Linked DNA regions of Ovis aries. The protein of the gene in region 5 interacts with the protein of the main gene of each other region in a pairwise test. Links are inferred from orthologs where the notes say so. Each region holds a gene or a part of one and is shown on either strand. Other genes may lie near its edges.

Region 1 (4,443 bases), about 99 Mb from region 5:
GTGCACTCTGGGCGGCCAGGATTACTGGCTGCTTTCTCTATTCTTTTTTTTTCTACGTCTTCCTCACTCCCATTTCTGGAAAAGAGGTTTCTGGGCAATGATAGGAGGAAGCTAGTAAGAAAGAAGAAAAGAAGATGCAAAACCTGGGAGAAAAATATTTTCCTTAAAATGTCTGAGAATCATCTGAATGGGTAAGTAATGTAATGTAATATATGTAATATAAAGTAATATATATAAGTAATGTGCACACTGACTGAGCTCTTTTCACCCTATCCAGGATGTTAGCATCACTTTTTCTGCCATTAACTCATTCTTATCAAAAAGAAAAAAAAAAATCCAAAAATTCTGTCCTAAGAACCAGTATAACTTAAGATTCCAACCCAGCTTTCCTTGTCCAGCTCTCTGGAGTGAACTTGACTTGTGAGATAAAGATGTCCACTGGGCACCAAGAAACCTCCCATCCACTTCCACTGTGGCCTGAAGAAATCCTTTTCTGAAATAGCAATAACAACAATGGGTTCCACTTTTCAATTTATCAATTTAACTTCCTTTCCAACCACAGTTAGAAATCAGTCATCCCCACTTCTCTCAACTATTTATTCTTTTTTTTTTTTTTCAACTGTTTATTCTTTGGCAGAGGATCAATGCCTATGTTCAAGAAAAACACTTATAACTTATACTCCAAGCATTTAACCCATACCGAAATAATCAAGATGAGACTGAAAATGCAGGTCATAACTGACAGTTAACTGTCAAAATGACCAACTCAAAGAATAAATGCTTTTGGAGAAAATAACGCAAACCTCTATAGCAGCTTTTGTGCCATTAAAATGAAAGGTCAGCTGACACTTTCTAGCTGCATGCCTTACTGCCTTTTCTTAAGTATTTCTGCTAGTTGAACATTTCCCAAAGGTATACAAAATGATTCAGATCCACAGTATATAGAAGAGATTAGGCTAGCACCAAATAAAACAGATTTATAGCATATATGTATTTTAGTACTAAGCTTAAGCCTTTTCAGGCCTGTGAGGAATCCTATAACCGCCCTCAAACCCCAAAACCCAGCATATGTGAGACTAGCAAGAAAGGAATTGCCCCTCCCCTAATTCTGTGGATGCAGAATGTATTGACAGAGTTTAGGTAATGAAATCTCTGTCCTAAATGAGTCCAAAATAAGACAAGGTACCTCTCACATCCCACTTCTACTCGACTGGAACCCAACCTTCTGCTAAAGGTCAAGGGCCGAAAATCTCTAGTAAGATGTCAGCACTACCATGTATAGCTGGATTAGAGGAAGGAAAGCTTGCTGCTAAGTGTTAGGATCAACCTAAATAAGATGGCCAGTCCTGTTTCTCCTTTTACAAAATATTGTGAGCTGCTCCTCAAATACTATGAATTTTGTGGCTCCATGTGTCCTTGTGATAACCAGGATCATGAACTAACAAGGTGCTCAAGTGAAAACATTTTGTTAAAACTAGGAATTTCAAGGAAGCTTTTCCCCTCCAACCTTCCCTCTGGTTTCATCCCTTCACTGACACAAGGTGAGGATCTGGCTTTCCACGTCTAAACTCCCATCCTGTGAAGGGCACGAGATCTTTGTGGGAGACCTGGAAGGTGGTGCTGCAGGACCCATGAACTCTCAAGGATCTCCAGTCGTTTATAACCCTGGCTCACATCGACACCCTCCTGGCTCTGGACACTTGCAAATTGGAAAGTCGGTAAAAGAAAAGGAGAATCTGAATTAACGATGGATTTACCTTGAACTGAAAACTGCAAGACATGGGGACACTGTGTCTCTCGGGGATAACTTCTAACGTTTCATACTTAAGAACCGTGTGTGTGTCACATTGCCACTCTAGCTCCCTTTAAAAGGATGAATCAAGACCGCGGCACTAAAAGGAATGGATGGCAGTCGGCTGCGTGTTTGGGCCTGTGAAAAAAGAGCCAACTAGCAACTAGGGCAACTGATGCTTTCGTTTTCCCACACAACGCCACACAAAAAAATGGGAGACCTCAGGAACCTGGGTTGAAAGGACATGTCCAGTCACCAGTTCCCCTTCATGGACACCCCCGCTGAACCCTTCAGCGCTGGGGTACCTTTTCACTCTGACTCCTGCTAATCTTCCTGCTCACTCCAAGCGTCTGCAGCCCCTACCCAGCTCCCCATCCTTTCCTGCCTGCTACCCACAAATTCCCAACCACTCCTCCCACATTTTCTTCTATTTCCCCCCTCCCCTTCCTTCACTTCCCTCCATCCTACATCATCTCCACTCCATTCCGAACTCAACCCGCAATCCGAATTCCTGCCGGCTTCTAAGCCGCTCGTCGGTCTCCCTTAAGCTGCCCCCGCAGTCGGGGCCCGCGTCCTCCGTGCCCCCGGCTCCCACGCCTCTCCCGACTCTTTCCCTTCCCGGCGGCGCTCTAGCTCCCCGCCCCCCGACCGCTGCCGTCCGTGCCTCCCTCATTTCTGACCCCTCCATCCGCGCGGCTCTGGGTTGACCACTCCTCCACAGTCGCCCGGGGGCCGATCCCGAGAAAGGACGAGGAGGCACCCTCCGCCCCCCACCCCTAGGCCCATTACCGGCTCCGCCGCAGCTGCCTCCTCCGGTGATGGTATCTGCCGCCCCCGCTGCCGCCGCCCTAGCCCAAGTGGAAGGAGGGAGGAGAAAGCGAGTCCCGGGGCCGCACAGACGGTCTGGGAGTTCCCAGGGCGGCAGGGCGGGGAGGGACGATGGGTGGGCAGGTCGGCCGGCAGGCGGCAGAGGGCGGGCGGCTCCGACAACTCGGGCGCCCCCCGGCAGCAGCCGCCCAGAACCGCCCCGGCTCCGGCTAACAATAGGCTCCGGCCGCAGCGCTCTGGCTCTTATAGGCGCCGGCACGTCCGGACCGAGCCCCGGGGCAGGCTGGGAAATGGAGTCTACGTGATAGCCCTACGCCCAGCGGCATGCCGGGAGTTGGAGGCGGCTACCTGCGCAGAGCCGAAACTCGCCGGCAGTCTCAGAAGGCTGTGATTCCGCTGCAGCCTGGGAAAGCGAGTTTGACGTCGCTGCAGCCTTTTGAAGAGGATGAGGGGAGACCCTCAGCTCCAGATCTTCGATGACTAAACAGATTCTCTTCTAAAACTCCCCTTTTCCTTTCATCAGACCCACACTTCCAGGTCTAAGGAACGTAATCCCCCTTATCCTCGCTCAGGGGATCTAAGTCTTAAGCAGCGCGACGTGCTGCAGCTTGCCCAGAGTATAAAGAAAATAGAAGCAATGCAGAGTAATCTTCAGTGTGTATTGATGGATTGTTTTCTTTCCAGATTTTCTGACGTGATTTCTGATCTTCACAATTTTGCAGCTCATTTTTAAAACCGAGAACTAAGACTCAGAAATCAGAATGTTGTACGTCGCTTGCCAAGGACACCCAGTCTTGGTCTTGTCTCGCTCAGAATGGAAGAACAGGTCTCTCCTTTGACCTATAAGGCCCTGTAAGATATAGGTGAATCCTCTGGCCTGAACAACCACCATCCTGTATGTCAGCTTGTCTCTTACATTTCCCCTCCCTTTCTGTTTTAACTGCCCTGGCCCATTAGATTCTTTGCAACAGGACAATCATGGAACACTCTTTCACCAGCTAGATCTATACTTCTTCGCTTAATACTTGCTCAAACGTCCCCTCATCAGAGACACTTCCTTAACCATATTTCTAAAATGGGGCTTCCCCTAAGTATCTATCCCCTTGCCCTATATTTCTTAAGCATTTACTATTTGACGTATATTTATCCTTCAGTCTTTTATCAATTGAGTGAATTCTATGAGAGTAAGAAGTTGTTTTGTTTACTGTATCCTCAGCACCAAGTACAAAACACGGTATTTGGCATTTAGGAACTTTTTATTTATCAAATGGATGGATGGCAGGATTTAAACTCTGGTTAGGCTGGTTCCAAAGCATGGTGCACTTACATTGCCACCAAGAACTATGAGCCAGATCTACCGGGTACCAAGCCAGCTCAGTTTTAGAACTGAGAGGTTAAGTGACTTGGAAAAATGCCAAGAATTCCAGTTCTCTCCCCTAGGTGATATAAGAGACTCAGAGAAACCAAGGTACAATACTGCAAAATGAAAAAAAGCAGATCATAAAAAAGCAGTCCTTACAGTACTGATCATCCACCTATCTGCTAAAGTTAGGCATGATATAACATGTAACCAAGAGCATGAAATCTGGAGCTAGATGGCCTGACTACAAGCCCCAGCTCCTCTTACTAACGGTGTGACCCTTGGCAAGGTAACTAACGTCCCTGTGCCCTGGCCTCCTCATCTGCAAAATGGGGATAAAAGTATGTATCTCATAGGATTTTGTGGAGGTTAAATAGTGGTATAAACTATTGACAACACAGTGTGATATAAACGTTCATATGATTCTGTTTTTCCTGGACACACAGGAATCAAAAAGGAAGAG
Region 2 (2,923 bases), on a different chromosome or scaffold from region 5:
CACAATTGAGCATGAGCACTATTATCGGGAGGAGTTACAGAAGCGGGGGGCTGATCTCCCCTGCTCGTCTCAGCTGTCTTCCGTGGAACCGCCTTTCACTGTCAGAGCAGCTGCAGGACACCCGTCACCGAGCGAGCGACGTGTGCACGGGGCCGCACCTTGTGGTACTCCACCAGCTCGGCCAGGCTGGCGTGCTGCAGCTGGTCCACGCCCAGGAAGCTGTATGAGTCCAAGGAGGCATCTATGAGGAAGTGCTTGCAGCCGTCCTCAGACTGGTAGGACAGGGCGTAGCCCTTGACCTTCTCGTTGACCCGGATCAGAAAGCTGCCCGGCACGCAGGTGCTCAGAAGCTCGTTCGCTCTGTTTACGGTGAGGATTCCTGTGGGAAAGAAGGGCAGGGGTTTCAGCCACATCATTTCCAGAGCTTCCCTCTGCTAAACACAGCCGTGTGGATAAAGCCAGTAAGAACCTGAGCAGCCCTAAGTCCACACTGGGTTTCCTTGGAGCAGTACTGTGGTTCGTCATCTGGTATTTGGTACCTGGGATGGGGTTGCTGCTAAGTCACTTCAGTCGTGTCCGACTCTGTGCAACCCCATAGACGGCAGCCCACCAGGCTCCCCCGTCCCTGGGATTCTCCAGGCAAGAACACTGGAGTGGGTTGCCATTTCCTTCTCCAACGCATGAAAGTGAAAAGTGAAAGTGAAATCGCTCAGTCGTGTCCGACCCTCAGTGACTCCATGGACTACAGCCTTCCAGGCTCCTCCATCCATGGGATTGTCCAAGCAAGAGTACTGGAGTCGGGTGCCATTGCCTTCTCTGGGATGGGGTAGGTTCCATAAGCAAATGTGTAGTACAAATGGAGGGCTTCCCAGGGTGGTGCTAGAGGTAAAGAACCCGCCTGCCAATGCAGGAAGCATAAGAAACCTGGGTTTGATCCCTGGGTGGGGAAGATTCCCTGGAGGAGGGCATGGCAACCCGCTCCAATATTCTTGCCTGGAGAATCCCCATGGAAAGAGGAGCCTGGCGGGCTACAGTCTATAGCATCACAAAGAGTTGGGCCCCGCTGAAGCGACTTGCCGCGTATGCAGTACGAATGGAACGCTCGCCCCTCAGAACACGTCTCCACCCAGTGACAAGCATGGGCGTCATGTGGCTTCTGAGGGGTAGGACCGTTGACAGTCATCCTGGGAGGGTGAGCTCTCCCAAGTTGACTGATGGGGACCCTGGGGCCTGGGGATGATCCTACAAGATCTGCAGTGGGAGTTCTCACTGGAGCGATGTCTGGAAACGTCTCAGACACCGGGGCTGGGGGGTGGGGGTGGCTCTAGTCTTCTCCAGTGCATGGAGGCAGGGATGCTGCCAAACCTCCCACTGCTCACAGAACAGCCTCACTATAGACAGTGATCCAGTGCCAAAGGCTGACAGTGCCGAAGGCGGGCACCCTGGTCAGGGGTCAGCGAGTTAGTGACAGTGTCCTTTGCTGTGACTACTCCTAAATGAGGCTTCATTTAACGGAATGACGCAAGAGATGCAGGCATGCGCACACACGCGTGTATATGTGCTGTACTTAGTCGCTCAGTCATGTCCGACTCTTTGCGACACCATGGACTGTAGCCCGCAGGCTCCTCTGCTCATGGGATTCTCCAGGCAAGAACCCCGGAGTGGGTTGCCATGCCCTCCTCCAGGGGATCTTCCCAACCCAGCGATCGAACTCAGATTCCTGCCTTGCGGGTGGATTCTTTACTGTCTGAGCCACCAGGGAAGCCCAAGAGTACTGGAGTGGGTAGCCTATCTCTTCTCCAGCAGATCTTCCCGACCCAGAAGTTGAACTGAGGTCTCCTGCATTGCAGGCGGATCCTTTACCAGATGAGCCACCAGGGAAGCCCCATGTGTGTATATGCGTACTATCTGTGTCTTCACAGATGCTCAAAAGGATGCCACTCTTCAAACACACACACACACACGTGTTATGCTACACACGCATAGTTTGGATGCCTCATGAATTCACAGGAATTCAAGACCAGCCTTCCCCAATTAGTCCACACTGATTGCTCAGGTCTGACCCATGCTCCCGGTTCCCCTGCTTGCTCCTCCTCATCTGTAATTCCTCAGGTGAGCCCACGACGTGATAAGACAGAGAGGAAGTGTGCAGATACGTGCTGGCAGGATGGTCAGCTGCTCTGAGCTCTGGCCAGAGGGCAACGTTTCCTGCGTCAGCAGATGGAACCTCCTGCCTCTTCCATGCTGACATTCGGTATTACGATTAGAGAGAAACCCAAAGGCCTCCTGGTGAGAAGGCAATGGATTATCACAGCTCTTCAGTCTGACAAGACTAAAGTTAGTAAAGTTAATTGAGAATTAAACCTAAGGATCCAGTGTAAAACGTCAAATGAAACCATTTGTGTTCTTTTCTGTAAGCAGACCTTTGAGAAGGGAGGATTAGAGATCATCCGCTCCCCGGGCCTCGTCTCCCCCGCTGGGCCTGAACCCGCACGTCTGGGTGTGGGGGCTCAGCTCCAGGGCGACGCGGGGCAATAGCAGGGCCTGCGGCCAGCCCCTCATGGACAGGAAACGCGCCTGCGAGGAAAGAAGCAGGCGGCCGCTCCTCTGGCATCCAGGCTCTGCCAGGACCCCGTCCCGCAGGCCGCTGAGTCCAGTCGCCTTCCTGCCCTTTCCTGATGAGACTGAGGTGCTGGACACAGCAGGCGCTGTGACTGAGGAGCCCCTGGGGTCGCTGCCGGGTGTCCATGTCAGGCGCCCAACTAATACCCACGTGAGCATCCCCGCGGCAACTGCTCCTTCCTGCCCGTTTCACCTTCTACACACCCGGTCCCACTGCGGGCATTGGAGGCTGAACCCAGGCCACCAGTGACCAGCCTGCCCAGGGCCTGCAGGGGCTGCGATGTGAAGACTCTGGGTCTGA
Region 3 (3,834 bases), on a different chromosome or scaffold from region 5:
TCTTTTATGAACGTGCCAGATTAGTAGGCGATTCCCTAGAAGCAACGGTGGTCGGGGCCTCCCTTGGCTGGTCAGAGTCCTTGTGTTCTTACTGTTTTTAACACCAGGGCTTGGTCTCGCGTGGCGCTGTACACACCGAGAATTGTGTGGCAGAGGCAGCCGTGACCACTGCACATCCGTCCTGGTGCGAGGAGGAGCCGCAGGCGAGGGTGGGGCAGCCCCCAGGGGTGACGAGGGGCGCGCGCAGGCGAGAGCAGGCTTCTCGCACCACTGGTTCATAGGGTCAGTCTCACGTCAGGCCGCTGCCTGTCACGGCACAGCTGTGCCCGCGTCAGCTGGCCCCATGACTCCGGGCGGCACTGCTCCCCGAGCCCCGCCGCCTCCCGGCCTCCTCATGGCTCCAAGCCCGGGAAGCGCGTCTCCAGGTGCCTATCTGCAGCTGAGCTAGGTTTTGTCTGTTTCAGGATGTAGATCTGAATCATTATCGCATTGGAAAAATTGAAGGATTCGAGGTGCTGAAGAAAGTGAAGGTGAGAGGAACTCGTCCCTGCATGGCAGGGGCCCGCGTGGCCCTGCAGAGTGCATCCCCCCACTGGATGTGGGTGAACCGGAGCAGATCAGTTCTGCGCGGTGACCGTGCTCGGGAAGGTGCCACGCTGCAACGGGAGCGTCCCTCGGGCGCCTTTGATCCTGAGCCCTGCAGGGTAACAGGCCGGACGCTCGGCTAGCTGGCTCTCCCCAGGTTCGCGTGGTGGCTCAGATCGGTGGTGCCTCCGTCGGGGCCTGCCTGCAGCCACATGCAGCCCAGACTCGATGTGCTTAGCTCACTGCAGTTCAGTGAGTTCCCTCTGCTGGAAAACAGCACCCCTCCCCTTGCCCAGCACCCCCCTCACACAGCAAGAACGCTCATCAGGGCCTCCCTGCATCCCCGCGGGTATCTGCCCGTCCTCTCCAGGTCAGCACCGTACTAGAAAACAGGAGCAAAACCACTTCCCCACCCAGGCCCCAGGTGTGGAGGCCGAGTCTGGGACAGTGGGCACTTCCTACGGGCCTCCCCGTCCCCTCTGTCAGCTGCCCTTTTTCTGTCCCCCAGACGCTCTGCCTCCGGCAGAATTTGATCAAGTGCATTGAGAACCTAGAGGGGCTGCAGAGCCTCCGAGAGCTGGACCTTTACGACAACCAGATCCGGAGGATTGAGAACCTGGACGCGCTGACAGAGCTGGAGTGAGTTGTGAGGCTGCAAGGGGCCTGGCAGCCGCCCCGAAACCAGCCCTGCAGCCCGAACTCGGGCCGGGGAGCCCCCGCCCACGGTCAGGCCTGTGCCTGGCTCCGCGGGGGCACCCGCTTGCCCACAGTCCCAGCCTGCACGTGAAGCCTTTGACTGGAGATGTCAGGCTGAGCTCCTTAGGGAGAAGACGGTTTCTGTCCTCAGCCTCGTGCTGGGAGCCGGGGCAGCAGGCTTTCGGGGCCCTATGGGCTGCCCGCCCCGCCACATTCCCCGGGCGGGCTGCTGCCTCTAAGTCAGCTACGTCCTGAGCTCGGCGTGACCTGTGCTCGTTAATGAATGCTTTGCTTGTTCCCAGGGTTTTAGATATTTCTTTTAATCTACTGAGAAACATTGAAGGCGTTGATAAGTTGACACGACTGAAGAAGCTCTTCTTGGTCAACAACAAGATCAGCAAAATTGAGAACATAAGCAGCTTGCACCAACTGCAGATGCTGGAGCTGGGGTCCAACCGGATACGGGTGGGTGTGGGCGCGGGGCGCGGCCTGGAGGTGTGCAGGGCGTGCAGCTGTGTCTCGCGAGACCGAGTGCTCACTGGGGGTCGGTGTTCGTGGGAGCGTGGCCCTTTCTTCCACACGCGGCGTTCTCTTGCTCCTCATCCGAGTCACGATGTAACTCTTAGCAGAGGCGTTGCACTCTGCCCGACAGCGGCCCCGGCGCTTGGCTTTTGGACATGCCGCTGGGTGTGGTTTTAGGCGCGCCTCTTGGCGCAGAAGGGGCCCATGCACAGCAGGGGGATGGGCCCCCACTCCGGCCATAGGAGGGTGGGCACAGCCTGGTGCCTAGTGGGCCCATCCGCCCCTGCTGAGTGGCTGTAGGCAGGGTTTCTGAGCCCTTCCTCCACCTGCATGCCAGAAATGCCCCTCCAACTTTTGGAAGCTTCTAGCACACTGGTCAGCTCAGGTTGGCCCTTGTGAGCTAGACAGGACGCAAACCAAGGAGGGTGTTTGCGGCAAAGGGCTTCTTGTGACCGGTGGTGGTGGTGGTGGTGGTGGTGGTGTGGTCGAAAGTAGCAAAGCAGCACGTGTGAAACTCGGGGTGGTCCAGGCATCAGCGTGTTCCGCAGCATCCCTGTGGGGGAGAGGGGCCGCGTCACAGCCGACGCAGGTGACGGCAGGCGGGGCTGCCCTGCCTCTGAGTCCTCGTCCTCCCGGGCCAGCCCCGGCCCAGCCCCGGCCCATCCTGCTGTGAGGACTGAAGAAGAGGCTCACTCTGCCCTTGGAGGCCCCGCTGCAGCCCCTGCCGGAAAAGCTCAGCTAGCCTGTTGTGGGAGAGTGGTGTACCCGGGAGGCGGGGACCTGAGGCCTGCCAGGGGCGCTCACTAGCGCAGCTGCCCATGGGGCCCTGGGGAGCACGGGGCAGAGCGGGGAGGAGCCTGCAGGCGTCCCAGGCCCGGGGCTCCCGCAGCTGCCACCCGCAGGACACCACCAGCGTCTGTTCTCAGGTTGCGCTCTGAAGTGAGGTTGCCTGGGGGATCCCAGAGCGGGCAGCACTTGCCCGACACGCAGGCAGCTCTGTCTGCTCGCCCAAGGGGTCGGGCCCTCCCCTCCCGTGACTGCTGCCTTGCCCTGATCTTCGCAGGTGATTGAGAATGTCGACGCGTTAACCAGCCTGGAGAGCTTGTTTCTGGGGAAGAACAAGATCACTAAGCTTCAGAATCTGGATGCACTCACCAACCTGACCGTCCTCAGCATGCAGGTGCGGACCGCCCAGCCTCCTGCCCCGTGGGCCCCCAGGGCAGGGCTTTGCTCCTCCACTGCCTCCATGCTGGGCAGCGCTTGGCTTCACTGTCAGTGAGGAGTGGAGACATCACACTGCACAGATCTGCAGCACACGTGACCCACGCGGGCCTGAGGTTTCCTTCCGTAACACGCCACATGTCCTCTAATGAACATCCAGGCGGTGTTTAGCCAGGGCAGCTCGTCTCTCCACAGCTCACGCCGTGCTGGGCTCCTGGTGGGAGTGACCCCCCCAGCCGTCCTGTCCCGTCCGTGCCCAGGAGTGTGCCACCTGGGCATGGTTGGGCAGCACCCACGTGGGGTGGGCAGTGCCCGCGTGGCTGCGGCCCGGCTTCTTTCATCAGGAGCAGGCGCACGGTGGTGGGCCCGGGGGCTTTGGTGGCAGGCCGTGGGGACAGGAACCCCAAGACCACCCATGCCTCTCGGAAAGCAGATATCGTGCAGATCTGTGTGAGAAGCGAGCGCTGTGCTCTAACTCGAGTACGATGGATGCCAAAGGAAATGAGAACTAAGTGATTTTAAATATTCTGATTTTGACATTTTTGAGTTAATTAAATTATTTGAGGTAGACCTGTTTCAAGTAGATTTTGAAAAGTGAGTTTCGTGCATCAAAGCCTTTGGCCATGTGCACGAGTTTGGCCCAGGACAGCAGACGCAGGGCCCTGGTCTGCCTCCCTGTGGGCCAGGCCCCTGCAGCTGCTGTGGGCGGCGCCCTGTTGTCAGGAGCCCTGTGTCCACTGCCATCTTCCCAGAAGCCCCCGGTCTCATGCGTTCTGACTCTCCCTGCAGAGCAACCGGCTGACCAAGATC
Region 4 (4,303 bases), on a different chromosome or scaffold from region 5:
CAAACAAATTAAAAGAAAAAGAATACTTGGTGACACATGAGTATCACGTGAAATTCAAGTTTCAGGGTCTGTCAGCAAAGTTTTGTGGAAACAGAGCACATTTACTTGCATATTGTCTGTGGCTGCTCTTCCACGAAACGGCAGAATAGCTGCTCCAGGGATCACGTGGCCCTCAAAGCCTGAAACCCTGACTCTCTGGCCCTTCACAGAAAAGCTCTGCCAGCCCCGATCTGCCACCTCATCGTTGTGCCCCTTTCTGTCAGCTGTGCCTTCTGTCTGGAAAGTTCTTCACAAGATCTCAGCATACCTCCTTCCTTCCTGCAGCTCAGATCCCAGCTTAAACGTTGCCTCCTCAGGTCCCCTGCAGTCAACCCGTCACTCTGCTGCATCTTCACCCCGCTTCCATTGTTGCACTAGTCACTGTTTTCTTCCCCAAGCCCCAGGCCTGACCTGCAGAAGTACCCATGACCGCAGGAGCTGATGGGTTCCCTACACTGAGGGACGGCGCGGAAGCAGACGCAGGTGCCCAGCCCAGGACTGAGCCGCCGGGTGGATGAACTGCCACTCAGCTGTGAGTGCAGCTGTGCCAGGGCTGGGCTTGGCACTGGGATGCAGAGCCTGTGATGGTGACACATGCAGTGCCCACACGCCCTGAGCGCAGCCCGGAGCAAACGCAGGAGGCCTGTGGCCACAGCGAGGCTGGCCGCGTGCCCTGCCAGCGCAGAAGGGCCATCCAGACCTCCCGGATGGTGGGAAGGGTCTGCAGGAGCTTCACCTGAGTCCTGGAGGCTCCCAGGGCTCACCTTCCAAAACAGAAGGAGGTTCTGGGGGTGGGTGGGGGTGAGTCTTACAAAGCACCCCACACAAAACCTACCCAACAGCAGTGGTCAAAGAATGACCAAGGTCTCGGGCAGTCCCGGCAATCTGTGTCTGTCACAGCCGCCCAGGAAGCACGCAGCCCAGACTCGCTGTCTGCCGTCGGGCCTCACCACACAGCCAGCACGGGGCCCGGCAGCCGAGCGCCTCTTCCTCCCCAGCCCGCCGTCCCAGGCGTCTGTGGAATTAGACATGACTGTCCCTCTGTCCTTTTTTCTCAGTCTGATGTGCTGGCAGGGCTGTTCCTAAAGACACAGAGCTTGGAAGGGAGGCGGAGGCTCACTCTCTCCCCTCCCCGCCTCCTCCACCACTACTGCAAGGGTTCAGGAGGGTGGAGGCCCGACACACATGGCAAGGTGCTCAGGAGTGGGGCGGGGGCAGAGGAGGGGGACGAGTGTGCAAAGACAGGCATGTCATCCAGCAGTCTCTGAGGAAGGATGTTCAGGAGGGACAAGGATCAGATCTGCTTTTCGGACCCATAACTCTGCCTATGGTGAGAAGGGTGGAGTCAAAGCGCCGAGTCAGAGCGCAGAAGAGCGGCCAGGAGCAAAGGCTCCCATCCCAGAAGGAGGTGCAGGCTGCTGGTACGAGAGATGGACAGGACAACCAGGATCTGGGCAACTGAGGAGCAAGTCTGAGAGAAGACACTACCACCCAGACACTTGCTTTGGCTAACAAGTGGACCGGGACAGAGGCACTGGTGTGGGGAACTCTTGGGGTGCAGGTGCCGTGCTGGGCCACCACAGGCTCATCTGAGACTGAGGTTCCAAAGCTGAACACAGTGAAATTCAGAAATCCCTAGAACACAGACACCAACGTGGAGCCCACAGGTACCAGGGCCTCTTGCTGGGCGCCTGCCAGCCCAGGAACCTTCCAGGAGAGCAGAGTCCAAGCAGGTGAGGGATGAAGCCAGGGCAGGTCCGCGGAGAGCCCACAAGGAAGGAAAGATAGACCTGCTGATGCTGCTCCATCCCAGCGTTGAGCCAAGAGCCTCCGGCACAGTGGAGGCAGGCAGGGAGCTGGCTGCTCAGAGCGCCACAGGGCCCCCAGGCAAGGATCGCGGGGCCAGCGGTCCAGGATCCGTCAGGGAACCATCCGCCCATAAGGCGAATCTCGCTGCCCCTGAAGTAAGCCAGGAGGCCAGCCTGGGGCACAGAGGCCCTTCCTTCACAGCTCTCCCAGGGAGAGCCCACAAGCATCACCAGGGAGCATCCCCGGGAGCAGAGGGGCTGAGAAGAGCAGTGCGGCCCCCACTCCACCCCCAAGCTAAGGACGGGGTAGGGAAAGGAAGGCCCAGAGCTCTGAGGAGGGCCAGCCAGAGCTCGGCCCTGGCTCCCGCTCCCCCACACCTGAAACGCCTCCGCACCCACGGAAACTAATCCCACAGTCGCCTCAGCCTCCACTGCAGGACAGGGAGGGGCCCCACCGGCGTGGACCTTCCCGCCCAGGCCCCTTGCGCCTCCGAAGCCGCGCGGGCCGGCGCTCGCCGCACAGCTATGGCTATTCCAGCCCGGACACCCATCGGTGGGCTGGAGCCCAGGATCCCTACAAGGAGGTCACTAGAACCCCTGGAAGTTAAGGAATTTGGCACAGAAAGGTTCAGGTTTTTCCTCTGGCCTCGCTCCAAAGCACACACGAAGCCTGGCAAGTACCTTCTCTGCAGGCCCGAATGTCCTCAGCTGAAACGGAGGTAACTCCGGTGCTGCCTACCTGGCCAACAGGTTACACGGCTGAAAACAACCCCGCATTCGGCTCAGCCGCGAACAGCGCCCCGGCCCGGCCTTGACGGCCGCCACTCCAGGAGCCTTCCCGACCCTCAGCACCGGCGCCGAGCGGGGCCTGGGCGGCCTCCCGCCGGGATCCCAGCCTCCCGGTCTCCCCGCCCGCCCGCCCGCCGGCCCCGGAAGTCCGCTCCTCACCTTCCGCCTCGCGCCAGCAGCCACCTCGCAGCCGATCGGAGCCGGTCCGCGGGTCCTTCTGCCCAGCGCTCCTCCCGGCGCCGCGGGGGCGGGCCCGCGCCCGGCCCTTGCCATGGCAACGCGAAACTTCCGGCCCGCGCTCCCCAGGACCGGAAACCGCCGCCCGGGGGCGGGGCTTGCCCAGAGGGACTGGGGAGGTTGCGGACCGCCGCTTGGGCAGGGTGCAGTGATGGCCGGCAGGCAAGGGGAGGGCCTTCCGGGGCGAGAAGCGCAAGTAGTCACAAGTTTGCCAGGAGGGTGGTCGTCTGATTACTCTGATCTTTTAAGAAAGGGTCTGAGTTCACTCGACAAAGCAGGGGCATTAATGGGGGGAGAGCATGCGCCAAGGTGGGAACAGTTGAGGTGGTGGTTTAGGAGGGCGGGGCCCGCTCTGTGGGGTCTGTGCGGCCAGCGATGAGTAGTCAGGACGTGAGGAGCCCTGAACGCCAAACCAAGAGCTGGGCTTTATCCTGGAAGCAAGGAGGGGACAGTGGAGGAAAAGCAGTGCCTTAGACCTGTTGGAGAAAAAGACCTCTCAATAACTGAACTGGGCTAGAAGACACAAGAACCTCTCAGCTAGAGCCCTGGAAACGAACAGGACTTGAAGAGGTGACATGGGAGTCCAGAGGAAGCCAGAGGAAATATGAAGAATCTGATAATGGAGGTAGCAGTGTAGCACCCCACCAACATCATCTCAGCCCCAGGCTTCCTCCTCCAGATCACCCATCACCCATCCCTTCTCTCAGCACCTCAGTGAGAGCTGCACACCCACTGTATGCTCCAGATTTTCAGCCCTCTAAGGGTTTACACTAAATTAGCTGCCACCTAAGCTACTTGGCGGAGAAGGCAATGGCACCCCACTCCAGTACTCTTGCCTGGAAAATCCTATGAACAAAGGAGCCTGGTAGGCTGCAGTCCATGGGGTCGCTAAGAGTCGGACATGACTGAACAACTTTCCTTTCACTTTTCACTTTCATGCATTGGAGAAGGAAATGGCAACCCACTCCAGTGTTCTTGCCTGGAGAATCCCAGAGACCGGGGAGCCTGGTGGGCTGCCGTTTATGGGGTCGCACAGAGTTGGACACGACTGAAGTGACTTAGCAAGGGTATAATTGGGGGCGGACTGGGCAGGGGGAGTGCTGCTGCTGCCTGAGAAAAATCTTGAGTAAAGTGATATAAAGTGTGTCCCTGTGCTTCCACGGCTTCCCTCGGGTCTGGGGGTTCTAATAGCAACACCCTACCACTGCTGGTGTCCTGGGCCTGATAAATGCCTTGTGCAAACTTGCCCAGTCCTCCCCCCGGGGGGGGGGAACCCAGGCTTTGGGGTAGTATACAGAGCAGGGTACAGAGCACTTGAGAGGCAGAGCCACAGATCACGCCAGGGAGGAGTTGAGTGGACAGAAGGGTCTGGGACCAGGAGAACCATGGTTCAGGGTCGCTGCCAAACACACTTTTCCAGGGCCGCACCT
Region 5 (4,412 bases):
CCCCTCCCCCCCCCCCCAAAAAAAAATCTATGATTTCTGTTATCAGCGTTTATGATACAGCACACGCATATTTTAAGCATCTCAGATCACACACTGAGGAGGAGTATATCACAACTGTTGACAGTGCAGACACTGGTGCTAGATGCCTGGGTTTGAATCCCAGATCTGCCACTGAATTGGGGCTAGGTACTTAACCATTCTGAGTTTCAATAAATCCCATCTACAAAGTAAAGATAATAATAGTACCTACCTCATAGGGCTAGTGTAAGGATTAAACAACACATGTTGTATAACATTTAAAACCGTGCCTGAGCACATACAGGGATCTCAAAAATGTTAGTTATTATTGGTGATATGAGAGTGGGGGGAGCACTGCCTTGAGCTTGAAACAGTATCTTAAGTTTCTGGACAAACACCTGAGGAATGATTAAAGACTTTGCCTCTGACCCACTTCTGAGAACAGGCCAAAAACTCTGGCTTATCTAGATCTTTTGCGTGGCTGCTCTTCCCCCTGCTTTTCTAGAGGCAGAATTATGTGATGGAAAGAAGAGAGGAGCAACCAAGCTTTCTGAGCCTCAGTGTTTCTTTGTCCCTCTCTTCTACATTACCAGATGTGGCAGGAGCTGAAAACACAAAGATAAACTGGGTTTACCGTGTAGCTCACAGTCGAGTGTAGGAGATAAATGCAAAATCACACGGTAGAATGATTAAGCCATATAATGAAAGTATTTTTCTTGTTGCTAAATGCACTGTGAAAAACAGCAGCCACAGAATTTAAGACGTATTTGAAAGAGATCTAAAGAAAGCAGACAGCGGAACTCATGTGAAATATTTTTATTGCTGACCCTCCCAAGGCCCTTTTCAATTTATTTCATCCACGTACACTTGGCAACCAACCTTGTGGAACCGCTGGATTATAAAACCCTTTATTTGCAAAGTCAAACTTTTCCAGTAGAAAAACCCCTTCTCGTTTTCCAAACGGACAAATCCAGCTTCAAACATGGGTAACAGCAGTCCACGTTTCCCGCTTACTGAAAACGAGGAATTGCTTGCCAAATCAGGGACTGAAACCAAGAAAAGAAAAGCGAGGCGGGAACAGCCACAACCGCGTCTGCGTAGCGCCGGGGCCCGGCCAGCTAGGAGGCGGGAAGGTCAACACTGCCTACGCGCGCTCTGCGTAATGGGAGCTTCCCCAGCCCAGCAAACCCTGGGAGCCTCCGGGGCGCCTGCGCAGCCGCTGAGATTCAGCGCAGTGGAACTGGCGAGGAAGGGCGACGCACCTGCGCGAAGCGGGCGGTGCGGCGCGGCGGCGGTGGCGGCGGGCGAACCGAGTCCAGTGCGATTGCGCGAGGGCAGGGGGTGGGTGAGGCGGGGCCGCGAGGCGAGTACGCCGTGCGCCTGCGCGGGGGGCTGCGTGGCGCGGTGGCGGGGCAGGGCGGTGTGGAGTGAGTGGCGCTGCGGGTGGGGCCGTCGGCGGCGCTGGTGAGCTTTGCGGAGTTGGGCGGTGCCGAGGAGGAGGAGGAGGAGGAGGTGGCGGCGGCGGCGGCTGGGTCTGACGCGGCCCGGTTCGTGGGGGGCTCCGCTTGTTTATTTATTTATTTATCGTGGGTGCCTCCGAGTGTGTGCGAGCTCCGCAGCTAGGTGGGGACGGGGTGGGGGGGAGGGCCTGGGGGAAGGGGGAGTTGGAGTTGGGGTCGAAACGCCGCGTGACTTGTAGGTGAGGGCACGCCGAGCGGTCGCCGCAGACTCCGCCGCCGAGAAGCCCTTGTTCCCGCTGCCGGGAAGGAGCGTCTGGTGCCGACAAGATGGCGGACGGGGAGCTGAACGTGGACAGCCTTATTACCCGACTGCTGGAGGGTGAGTCGGGGCCCGGCGGGCCGCGGGGAGGGGACGCTCTCCCTTACCCCTCCTGGTCCCTCGGGCGCTGGAGCCCGAGGGAACACCACCCCACCCCCTCCGCCGTCCGCTTCCCCGCTTTTCCCGCCCCGAGACGGCCGCCGAGGATGGGGGCGAAGAAGCTGGTGGGCCGGGGGAGCGGCCTCCGGGAGAGAGGCCGGCCGAGAGGGGCCGTCCCCGCGGGCGGGCAGTGCCCCGCGGACCTTCGGGGACCCGCACGGCGGCGCGCGGCCGGGGCGTGGGGTGACCCTTCCCAGAAGGAGTGGGCCGGGATGCGTGCTCCGATGCATTGTATGCCCGCGAATTGTGTGTTTCTCCTCTGTGCTCTTTGTGCCTTGCCCTTGGCTGCCTCCCGATTCTTGTTCTGGGAGTGAAAAAAATTTTTTTTTAAAATCCACCTGGGAAAACTGTTTGATCTGTTCAGCAAATTTTACATGATCCTACAGGACGAACTATTTAGGGAGAAGATAACACTAGCGTGAGTACCTCCCATGTCTAATTTAGCTTTAAAAAATAGTAAAACAGGTCTGACCGAGACGAAGAAGCACGCCAGAAATATGTAGACACACGTTTGCTGTAGGGATTAGTTTTCGAATTTGAGAATCTTAACAGGTTTGAGCAGGATTTGATTTCTGCACAAACTTAGGAGAGGTCGATTGTAAAGCCTCTGTTGTGTTTAAAGGGTCTTTGCAAGTCTTCGCAGCTTTTGAAGTTTCTGGGCCCTTCTGTTTTTATTGGATAGTTTTATGTTAGGGTTGGGGATTGAGGGATAAGGAAGAGATGGAGAGGCCAGGATATTATTCAAAGTCCATCGCGGTCTTCTGCCCGCGAATGCCTTTATCCCAACATTTGCGTCATCACTAACTGCTTTGTGAGTGAGTAGAAAAGAAATTGACCCATAAAAAAAAAAAAAAAAGATTTAGAGTCCTCTCTGTCAGAAACTGTGGCAGGATTACATAGACGTTGTTACTTGCTTTCGAATTTCCTGAAGATAATTATTTTTCACAGTGAAACAGTATGTGCTTACTGTGATGGAAAAGCATCACAGAAGATTGTATGGTTGGGGGGCGGAAGGGAGGGCGCTGGTTCCTTTTTTTGGCCGAAGTGTCGGTATCTCATCAGTTTCTGTGTATACCGGTTGTGTAGCAAACTACAGTAAATTTGCTGCAGATGTGAGTCTTCCAGCAGTGTGAGACTGAGTGTCTTTTAAGACTGAATAAGAAGCAAAGTTTTACCAGGAACTCTTATTTGCTTTTTCCTTTACTATTAAGTTATTCCTGGGAGGCCCCCTGGTGCCTGCAGTCAGTTTTCACTGTTTAAGACTTTGTGGATTTTAACAGATGTGAACATCTTGCTGGGTGTGAGACATTTGCTTTGAGGGGAAAATTTTTTTGTTGTTTAATTATTTGTTGTTCTGAGAGGGAAATGTAGCTGTTTAAAAATTTTAATATCTTGTTAACTTTGGGAGAAGTTTATGCTCATCATGAACTTGGCTTGTAAATTTATTTAAAAATATGATGCTTGTATCCAACTTCTTCATTTTTGTTTTCCATATACTTATTTATATACTTTATAGGCATAAGACAAGATAAACTTATGTATTTTTAAATGTTTGATGTGGGATGTCTTAAGTGAGATGATTTTATGATTATACATAATTAAGAAACTTCACTCACCGATTGTTCAAGGCTACTAGGAGAAAGATACGGTGGGGAAAATAGGCTAAGTGATTGTTTCTTTGAATTTGAATTACATCAGTGTTCGGTTCTGGTTTTTGATGATCGTTTTCCAGACATTTTCCCCTTTTAAATTAGCAAGAATTTACTGACCTGCTTTGTGCCAGTCACCAGGAATGCAAAGACAAGACACTGTCTCTTCATTCAGGGAATTCTCAATTTATACAAGTGATTTAATTCTCCAGGCCCCTTTCTCCTTTGCAAAATCTAGACCTGTCCAAAGACATCCAAAACAGACTTGGATTTTCTAGAAAGTAGTTACTTTTAGTATTGAAATAAATTTTTTTAGTCTCCAAATAAAAATCACTTGATTTTCAGTGACATTACATTTTAATTAAAAGTAACTCAAATTCAAGTGAGGTTGCTTAGCAGAATAGCTATAGTTAAATTTTTGGTTTGTCTTTAGTATTAAATGAAAGTACAGAACTTGATCAGCAATATTTAATCTCATTTTAAAATGTTGATTGTAGTTCCATAACATAGTCTCGATTATTTTTTTCTTTTTATTACATCAGATTACCAGTCAGCTATAATACTTTTAGTATACATTTTATGAGTTGGTTTGTGTTTACTTAGGTGGGCAAATCATGTGAATTTCTAAAGCACCATTTACATTTAATTTTTTGTTGTTGATATTATTTAATGCAAAACAGTATACTAATTTATTGTTTGGACAGTGCATATTCCTCCAATACATTTTCTTGATTAAGTTTTGCTTACTACAAAGCCAGAGATTCCTACCACTCTCGGCTGTAGTGACCCTGCTACTACATTGTTGTG
Region 6 (3,834 bases), on a different chromosome or scaffold from region 5:
AGGATTTACCAAATTGTGTTCAGCAAGGTGCTCCACAAAAATTTTGTGCTCCACAAAAATGAGGTGCTTCCCTCATTAGGAATAAGTTTTGGAAACTCCACAAACAGCATACTCTTTTCATTATTCCCCACAATCATCAGCATACTGAAGGCCTCAAGAAGTCCTGACAGGGGATCCCTTGAAGTGGTTTTAAGACCAATGGTTCCATACGTCTTTGGTTTTAACCTTAGGCCTCTGCCCCTGCCCACCCTCCACTTACACTTTTAATCTATCCTGAAGCCATGGTCCACCCTTGAGTTAACAATGAGCTGTGGCCTCGTGGGCGGAGATGAAGGCAAACGCAGCTTGCCAGTCCCTGTTGGAGGGATGAGTCTGAATGTCTGTCTGACCTTTCTGTTTCTGTCTTTCCCCTTGGCCAGGGTTCTAGCGTGTTCCTCTAGCCCCGTGATGGCTGTGGACATTGAGTGCAGGTACAGCTGCATGGCCCCCTCCTTGCGCAGAGAGAGGTTCGCCTTCCAGATCGCCCCAAAGCCAAGCAAACCTCTGAGGCCTTGTATTCAGCTGAGCAGCAAGAATGAAGCCAGTGGGACGATGGCTCCGACGGTCCAGGAAAAAAAGGTGAAGAAGCGGGTGTCCTTCGCCGACAACCAGGGGCTGGCCCTGACGATGGTCAAAGTGTTCTCCGAGTTCGATGACCCATTAGATATTCCGCTGAACATCACCGAGCTCCTGGACAGCATCGTGAGTCTGACAACAGCGGAGAGTGAGAGTTTTGTGCTGGATTTCTCGCAGCCATCAGCAGACTACCTGGACTTCAGAAATCGGCTTCAGACCGACCATGTGTGCCTGGAAAACTGCGTTCTAAAGGACAGGTCTATTGCAGGCACCGTGAAGGTGCAGAACCTCGCGTTCGAGAAGACAGTGAAAGTCCGGATGACCTTTGACACCTGGAAGAGCTTCACAGACTTTTCCTGTTGGTACGTGAAGGACACGTACGCAGGTTCAGACAAGGACACGTTCTCCTTTGACATCAGCTTGCCTGAGAAAATTCAGTCTTACGAGAGGATGGAGTTTGCCGTGTGCTACGAGTGCAACGGACAGACATACTGGGACAGCAACAAAGGCAAAAACTATAGGATCATCCGAGCGGAGCTGCAGTCTACCCAGGGTACAGCCCAGCCATCAAACGGACCAGATTTTGAAATAGCCTTTGACCAGTTTGGAAGCCCTCGGTGTTCCTATGGTCTGTTTCCGGAGTGGCCTAGTTATTTGGGATACGAGAAGCTTGGGCCATACTACTAGTGACAGCCTGGGATGGAGCCAGGCTCAGTGGGCGCGGATGAGCCGAGCTGCAGTCATCCTGAGATGGAGAGGGAAGCCTAGAGGAGAGCTGAACTGCCATCAGACACAGTTTTGAAAGCAAAGGATCCTAGTTACTTTTACCCTTCAATCAGCCAAGACAGCCAGGCTTTGATCACAGAACTGGGTTCTCACTTGGAGGAGATGGCTGTGCTGGTCCGTTTGGCAATGAGGGTCTGTCTGAGCAGGATGATGCTGGAAAGAGTCTGGACAGGACCCAGGCTTGTGGGCAGCCCTGGCCAGGCCAGAGGATGTTGGCTCAGTGATAAGGAGTCCCTCTCCTCTTGGGTGTGGGAAGTCAGTCCCCTGGCAAGCCCTTGGTCCTCCCCGTGGCCCCTCTTCTGGGGGTCTTTGCCACCCAGCCAGGGCCTTCTCACCTGCCCTGTGTCTACATGGGCTTCACACTTTATCCCTGCATTTTTGTGCACTTGGTTTTCTTCCACAGTTCAGCTGATGTTCAGGAAAAGAGGATACAAGCCAATCAACTTGTGATGGAGACGGGCATTCTCTCTTTCTGACCCTGCTCTGACGGCCCAGCAGAGGATGACACACCAGCTATGGGAAGTCAGCTGGCTCCTGGGTGGTGTCACCAATGGCGCACTAGGCTGATGCCAGCAGGACAGGCATGAGTGGGACACTTAGCTTCTCTTCTTGGCTTTGGAGGAGCTTTCTAAGCCCTCACTCTTACCCTGAGTTACTGGACAGCTTGGTTACAAGACTTGTTGTAACTTGCTCAGCTGGCTTGCCTGTGTCTCTTTCTTCACAAAAGGATTTTAGAATCTCTTTTCCTGGAGAGTCATCATTTACGCCATGTTTGGGACGTTTGGATTTGCAGATTCAATATATCCTCCACACCTCCAGAAAACATTTGGTTGTATTTTGACTGTGATTTACAACATCCACGTTGTAAACAACACCTTACCAGCCCTCACGGACTTTGATTTGGTTGTTCTTATTTATGGTGTGTGGGTGTGTAAAGGGATAGGGAGAAAAACCTCACCAAGTTCGTAGATTTGATTTTTACTGTTTGCCAACTCTGAAATATCATAGACTCATTGTTCTTAAACACATTGGACTAAAGCATTAAAAGTCTGTTGGTTCACATTGTTGTGAGATTACTGGGACTTTCCTCATCCGATGGATCCCCAAACCCTGTGATTTTTCTTGGGCAAGATTCATTGGTACTTGGGAGTGTTTAAAAAGTACTTTTATATGTGTATTTGTAGAAGGTTTGGGTTTTGTTTTTATTTTCAGAACTTAATTAAAGGACCGCCTCGTTTTTCTTCTGTCTGATCTTACTAAAGCGAGGTCTTCCTAAGGGGAGGCAGGAGACAGGATGCCCCACTCCCTAGATCTAGGGACACAGACCCTGGACCCTGCACTCAAAGAGCCTTCTTTCACTTGCATTCTCCAGATCAGTTGGAAGAGACCTCCTGGCTTCTGTGGCTTTTGTAAATCAGCATTGAGCTGATCTCAAGTGTCTTGGCTCCTAGAGTTTTGTGGTTGAGTTCTTTTTCTTTTCTTTTTTGAACTTTAAAATGTTTTGATTGTTTTAAATGCTCTTAAGTGGTGTTCCACAGAGTTCTTATCCCTAAAACTGGCTGTGATTAGTCTGCAACCTAGTGCTTTATTTTTTATGTCTCTCCCAGGTGGCCAACACTGGGGGATTACATGCTAATATAATTTAAGGGACAATCACATTTTTTTCTTATGCTGACATTGGGCAGAACTGGGTTTTATGTAAGCATGTCTTACATCCAGTACACAGACAAGATCCTCTATATTACAAATCTGGTGATCAGAATTGTTATACAAGAGTGTAAATCTACACTATTTGGAAGCAAACCTAATTTTATACGGGTCATGAATTTATTTTGCTTTAAGAAGTCCCCTCCCTCCTGCAGTTTATGAAAGGTACAAAGTGTACTTATGACCAGATCGTTCTCTGTTAGTAAGAAAAATGCCTCAAGTGACTTCTGTATGGTTTTCAGTCATTGTGATCTGAAGGCATTCCCATGTCAAAATTTGAAATATGGTAATTCAGTGATAAGTATCTCTTTCAAAACAACCACAACCCCTCCCCCTACCCTTCTTTCCTCCCAGCTCAGCCCAGCTTTTCTGCTGGGGGCACTGGTTGCAAACCCCCTCACCAGTGCACCTGGGTTGCTCACCCCACCGGGCAAGTCCTTACCTGCTGGCAAAGAAAGACCCTTCTCTGACTAAAGCAAGTGCCTGCCCAAGGTCCCTGGCAGCATTGTCAGGCAGTGAGGTTTTGTCCTCTGAAGAGCACTATCTCCTCTTCACCAGTCAGTCTCCTTTTGGGCTTCCCACATGGCGCTCGTGGTGAGGAACCTACTTGCTAATGTAGACAACTTAAGTTTGATCCCTGGGTTGGGAAGATCCCCTGGAGGAGGGCATGGCAACCCACTCCAGTGTTCCTGCCTGGAGAATCCCACAGACAGAGGAGCTTGGCGG
Region 7 (4,467 bases), on a different chromosome or scaffold from region 5:
TCTCCATTTTACTGATGAGGGAGTTGAAGCTCAAACTTGTCTAGATTTGAAAGTGTCAAACCCAAACAGTGCCCCTTCAGCTAGTTTTGGTTGTTCTGAGAAACTAGAAGATCTGCTTTTAGTTGGATGTTTTCTTTAAAAAATCAAGCCCAAGTGATAAATAACTGCCCCAGTGATAACTCACTTTTTCTTTAACCACACCATTTTAACACTTCTGCTGCTGCTGAACGGTGATTTTAAAGACATAGGGATTTTTGTACATTTTACATTGTATATTCTGTACATTTTTATGGACTGCTGGATAACTAAATTGAGAGCAGAGCAAGGACATGGACTTTATACAAACAATTCCTACTCGACTTAGAAATTTAATTTTATGGTTGTAACTGATGATGGTCTAAAAACTCCCCAAACTAAACAAAATTACAAAACCTCGATGAGAATAACCGGCCTGGGAGAGTCATGAAACTTACAGTGTGATAGTTTAACATTTTGGTTTTCACATCGCTGCCAGAGGACGTCAGAACCCAGATGAGGGATTTGGGTTGACCACTGGCTCTGCGGGCTGACCCACCACATGAGCAAAAGAGGCCTTTTCATTTCTGGCTTTAGTTTTCTCTTCCAGGGAGAAAAGCTGAAGACTAGATTGAAATACAAAGTACCTTTTAATGAAATGCTGCCTCATTGTCTTATAATAGGGCTAACACAGACTGCCGGTGGCTCAGATGGTAAAGAATCTGCCTGCAAAGCAGGAGACCCGGATCAATCTCTGGATCAGGAAGATCCCCTGGAGAAGGGCATGGCAACCCACTCCAGTATTCTTCCCTGGGAAATCCCAAGGACAGAGGAACCTGGCGGGCCACAGTCCATGGGATCTTAAAGAGTCGGACAGGGCTGAAGCATTTAATACGGACTAACACGGTTTATTAACAATATTGGTTAGAGAAGAATGTACTGTGTGGTGCATTTCCGGGTTCACCCTAACCCCAAAATATGCAGTCAACTTCTGATTGCTCAGGGCAAGGAAAGGGAGAAGATAAGCCAATGCACCAAGCAATGAACAAGATAAACATTTCAAAACTATAAATATAAGCACACACACACATCCCCTTCCCCCACCGCCACCCCTCCACGCGTCCCCGGAACGAGCCACAGTGTCCTGCCCTCAGATAACTGTATACAGAAGCCTCGCGAGTGAGACACCTCCCTCCCTGCAGCCCCGCTGTGTTGGCGCTCCGCGCGGGAGGAGGTTTGCTGCTTTCCCTCCTGGCCTGCGCCGGCTACTTGTGCTACGCGGTTGCCTCCACGCCTCCTCGCCCGGGGTTCGCGTTACTCTACCCCGGCCAGCTGGCCCGGGGTCCCAGAGCGCCCCCAGCGCCCGGCGAGCCCTGCACCACGGCAGTCACGTCCCGGCAAGGGCTCGCGCCCCAGCTGAGCGCTGGTTGGTCGCGCCGTCGAGCCCGCGGCCCAGCGATTGGCCGTGGCAGTCGGCTCACGTGGTCCCCCGCAGTTAAGCGGCCTCCCGGGGGCCGCACCCGCGATCTGCCGGAGCTGCGGCCACTCGGGGACTCCCGGGAGACGCGTGCGAACTCTCGCAAACCGCGGAGTGCCGCCGCTCCTCTGCCTGATGAGCTGCACCAGGTAGGTTCCCTGCAGATTCTCCGACCCGGAGCTCAGGGAGCGCGCAGCTGTCGGGAGGCTGGGATGCGTTTTCCTGCTGTCATCCCCGCCCCGGAGACCCCAGGGGAGGGCGGGTTGACAGGCTGCTGAAGAATCTGGCGCTGGGGAGGCCTTGGAGGTGTGAAGATTTGCTCTGAGCATCTTAGGCAGAGCTGATTTCGGTAAACGGCATCTTAAACCAGAAACGTGAGTCAGCTTTAGTTCTGATTCCCTCGTGGATTCTAACCGTATCTCTTGGTCCTGCACAGAGGTCTCAAGGACTCGTGGGAAGAGCACTCAGATTGCTGGCTGTGTAGTTTAGCTTTGGGAAAAACTTAACGATGGACGATGTTCACTTTCCTTGGTCCTCTTTCCTTCTTCTGACGGTTTGCCATAGCAAAGCCAGTCTCGGGAGTTTGAGCAAATGATTATTTTTAAACTCTTCGGCCAGACTTAACATTCCAGGGAAATCGCCGTATCCTGAAACTGTCTTTAGATAAGTGCAAAATGTGAAAATACAGGGCAAACCCCCAAACAAAAAAACCACCCACAAAACTACTTAAATAGCTTCTTTAGACATAACTTAGCAGAAGACGTCTCTAAAATTTCCGCCTGTTAACTATTATTAGACCAATAAATATAGCTTTCTCTCTCATTTGTTTGTTCTAAGTTTGTAGGTCTCCCAGAAAAATCCTAGGGCTAATAAAGTGAATTCTCAGAATATTCTTTTATTACCCATCTTATGATAATGACCATTTGGCTATGTGCTTAGAGCTGCTGGGAAGACAGTTACTAAAGCCGGAACGAGAAATGTCACATACAGTATACACACACTTCTTATCTGAAGGCTAGGGTAGGGGAAAAATGTCCATAAGTTTGGCAATGTATACTCAGGGCTAAAGGCCAGAAAAAATACCTTTCTTGATGGACACTTCATGGTTTAATATTTCTGGGCATAGTTATGTCTAAATTTTAAATAGCTTTATTATCTTTCTAGTTATAAATATCCATTGCCAGAACATTTGAAAATACCAAAAAAGTACAAAGGCAAAAATAGATCACCTATCACCCGGAGATAATTGTTAACTTTTTGTTGTGCTTCCTATTAGACTTTTCAACATTTATAAGTTCATATATGTGTTGTGTGTGTGTATATATATATATATATAAAACACATTTATTGAAACTATCCTATTTTCAGGTTTGGCTTTCCCAGTGACTCAGCGGTAAAGAATCTGCCTGCAATGCAGGAGACACGGGTTCAATCCCAGGGTTGTGAAGATTCCCTGGAGAAGGAAATGACAAACCACTCCAGTATTCTTGCCTGGAAAATCCCATGGACAGAGGAGCCTGGTGGGCTATAGTCCATGGGGTCACAAAAGAGTCTGACATGACTGAGTGACTAAATAATGACAATAATTTTCAGATCATCAGATTTTCCCACTTAAATGTGGAGTTGGCATGGATGTCTTTTTGGGTGAAATACAGATTATGTAAAGATTTTTAAATTCATAAATGGCTGCCTTGCACTTCAGTAGGTTATTTGTGTAAAATGGGGAAGAGCATGGTAATGAAAGTGCAGAGAGAATCCTCTAATTTACTCTTTCTAGTCTTTGGCTCTCAAAACCCTTTGCTGTTTTTATTCTTTCTTTTTAAATGGATTATGGTTCCAGAGAAGTATAATTAATTCAATAGCAAAATCATCAAAGCAGTTGAGGGAGTGCAGTTTGGAACTTTGATTCTAGAACCTGTCTGGTCATTGGCTTACCTGGGAAGCTTTAAGAACATATATACATTCTTGTCTCCATCCCCAGGGGTTCTGCATTAGAGGCTCTAAGTCCAAGGATTCTGCATTGAAAAAAAAGAAATCCAACCCACTAGGCCATGGTGGGGGCTTCCGTGGTGGCTCAAACAGTAAGGAACCTGCCTGAAAACAGACAGGTTTGAGAACTGGTGCTCCAGAACAGAGCAAATGGTTTTAGAGCTGTATTAGAGTTGATCCCATCCAAATCTTTTATTTCTCAGATGGAGAAACTGGGACACCAAGTGTTTTAACCCGTGGCCTATAGCCTGTCAAGGGCAGAGCCAAACGTAAGATGCAGCTTTTATCACCTAATCCTGCATTCCTTTACTTCATGTGAGAGCGCTGTGCTGGCTGTAATAGCCAACAAAAATAGTACAGACCTACTTGGGACCAGGGGAAGTGCATTCTAGGTGCAGATGATAACCCCTCTTCTTTCTGTATTCTAGAATGATCCAGGTCTTAGATCCACGGCCTCTGACAAGTTCAGTCATGCCCGTGGATGTCGCTGTGAGGCTCTGCTTGGCTCATTCCCCACCTCTGAAGAGCTTCCTGAGCCCTTATGATGACTTCCAACGAAGAAATTTTGTGAACAAATTAAAGCCCCTAAAGCCGTGTCTCAACATAAAACAGGAAGCCAGAGCTCAGGACGGCTGGAAGCCTTCACACAACCAAGCCAAGAAGCGGGTGGTGTTTGCGGACTCTAAGGGCCTCTCCCTCACCGCCATCCATGTCTTCTCAGACCTTCCCGAGGAGCCCATGTGGGATCTCCAGTTTGACCTCTTGGACCTGAATGATATCTCCTCAGGCTTAAAGCTCCACGAGGAGAAGAACCTGATTCTGGATTTCCCTCAGCCTTCAGCTGACTACTTAAGTTTTCGGAACCACTTCCAGAAGAACTCTGTCTGCCTGGAGAACTGCTCTTTGCAGGAGCGAACAGTGACGGGGACTGTGAAGGTGAAGAACATGAGCTTTGAGAAGAAGGTTCAGATCCGGATCACTTTTGA

What was found.
Region 1: the proteins of PPP1CB (region 5) and CSRNP2 interact in binary tests that used the Homo sapiens proteins (3 or more experiments, as listed by UniProt). The two-hybrid records come from large-scale screens. The link is inferred for Ovis aries from reciprocal best matches to the Homo sapiens genes PPP1CB and CSRNP2.
Region 2: the proteins of PPP1CB (region 5) and SH2D4A interact in binary tests that used the Homo sapiens proteins (3 or more experiments, as listed by UniProt). The two-hybrid records come from large-scale screens. The link is inferred for Ovis aries from reciprocal best matches to the Homo sapiens genes PPP1CB and SH2D4A.
Region 3: the proteins of PPP1CB (region 5) and PPP1R7 interact in binary tests that used the Homo sapiens proteins (3 or more experiments, as listed by UniProt). The link is inferred for Ovis aries from reciprocal best matches to the Homo sapiens genes PPP1CB and PPP1R7.
Region 4: the proteins of PPP1CB (region 5) and PPP1R16A interact in binary tests that used the Homo sapiens proteins (3 or more experiments, as listed by UniProt). The two-hybrid records come from large-scale screens. The link is inferred for Ovis aries from reciprocal best matches to the Homo sapiens genes PPP1CB and PPP1R16A.
Region 6: the proteins of PPP1CB (region 5) and PPP1R3B interact in a two-hybrid assay, tested with the Homo sapiens proteins (2 studies listed by BioGRID and IntAct). The link is inferred for Ovis aries from reciprocal best matches to the Homo sapiens genes PPP1CB and PPP1R3B.
Region 7: the proteins of PPP1CB (region 5) and PPP1R3C interact in binary tests that used the Homo sapiens proteins (3 or more experiments, as listed by UniProt). The two-hybrid records come from large-scale screens. The link is inferred for Ovis aries from reciprocal best matches to the Homo sapiens genes PPP1CB and PPP1R3C.

What each region holds. Positions count from the first base shown.
Region 1 is NC_056056.1:135,103,298-135,107,740, reverse strand, and holds the start of CSRNP2 (cysteine/serine-rich nuclear protein 2), read right to left. Parts: upstream 2,838-4,443; 5' UTR 2,582-2,837; exon of another isoform or gene 1,931-2,581; 5' UTR 1,782-1,930; coding exon of another isoform or gene 1,758-1,781; intron 494-1,757; 5' UTR 462-493; coding exon 381-461; intron 1-380. UniProt on the Homo sapiens protein: Binds to the consensus sequence 5'-AGAGTG-3' and has transcriptional activator activity. May play a role in apoptosis.
Region 2 is NC_056079.1:37,576,114-37,579,036, forward strand, and holds part of SH2D4A (SH2 domain-containing protein 4A), read right to left. Parts: intron 380-2,923; coding exon 159-379; intron 1-158. UniProt on the Homo sapiens protein: Inhibits estrogen-induced cell proliferation by competing with PLCG for binding to ESR1, blocking the effect of estrogen on PLCG and repressing estrogen-induced proliferation. May play a role in T-cell development and function.
Region 3 is NC_056054.1:607,477-611,310, reverse strand, and holds part of PPP1R7 (protein phosphatase 1 regulatory subunit 7), read left to right. Parts: intron 1-464; coding exon 465-530; intron 531-1,093; coding exon 1,094-1,224; intron 1,225-1,583; coding exon 1,584-1,746; intron 1,747-2,866; coding exon 2,867-2,983; intron 2,984-3,813; coding exon 3,814-3,834. UniProt on the Homo sapiens protein: Regulatory subunit of protein phosphatase 1.
Region 4 is NC_056062.1:13,427,425-13,431,727, forward strand, and holds the start of PPP1R16A (protein phosphatase 1 regulatory subunit 16A), read right to left. Parts: upstream 2,856-4,303; 5' UTR 2,587-2,855; exon of another isoform or gene 2,529-2,586; intron 1-2,528. UniProt on the Homo sapiens protein: Inhibits protein phosphatase 1 activity toward phosphorylase, myosin light chain and myosin substrates.
Region 5 is NC_056056.1:35,686,594-35,691,005, forward strand, and holds the start of PPP1CB (serine/threonine-protein phosphatase PP1-beta catalytic subunit), read left to right. Parts: upstream 1-1,392; 5' UTR 1,393-1,618; exon of another isoform or gene 1,619-1,641; intron 1,642-1,717; 5' UTR 1,718-1,805; coding exon 1,806-1,857; intron 1,858-4,412. UniProt on the Homo sapiens protein: Protein phosphatase that associates with over 200 regulatory proteins to form highly specific holoenzymes which dephosphorylate hundreds of biological targets.
Region 6 is NC_056079.1:24,325,262-24,329,095, reverse strand, and holds part of PPP1R3B (protein phosphatase 1 regulatory subunit 3B), read left to right. Parts: intron 1-419; coding exon 420-1,302; 3' UTR 1,303-3,834. UniProt on the Homo sapiens protein: Acts as a glycogen-targeting subunit for phosphatase PP1. Facilitates interaction of the PP1 with enzymes of the glycogen metabolism and regulates its activity.
Region 7 is NC_056075.1:13,013,134-13,017,600, reverse strand, and holds the start of PPP1R3C (protein phosphatase 1 regulatory subunit 3C), read left to right. Parts: upstream 1-1,539; 5' UTR 1,540-1,627; coding exon 1,628-1,641; intron 1,642-3,909; coding exon 3,910-4,467.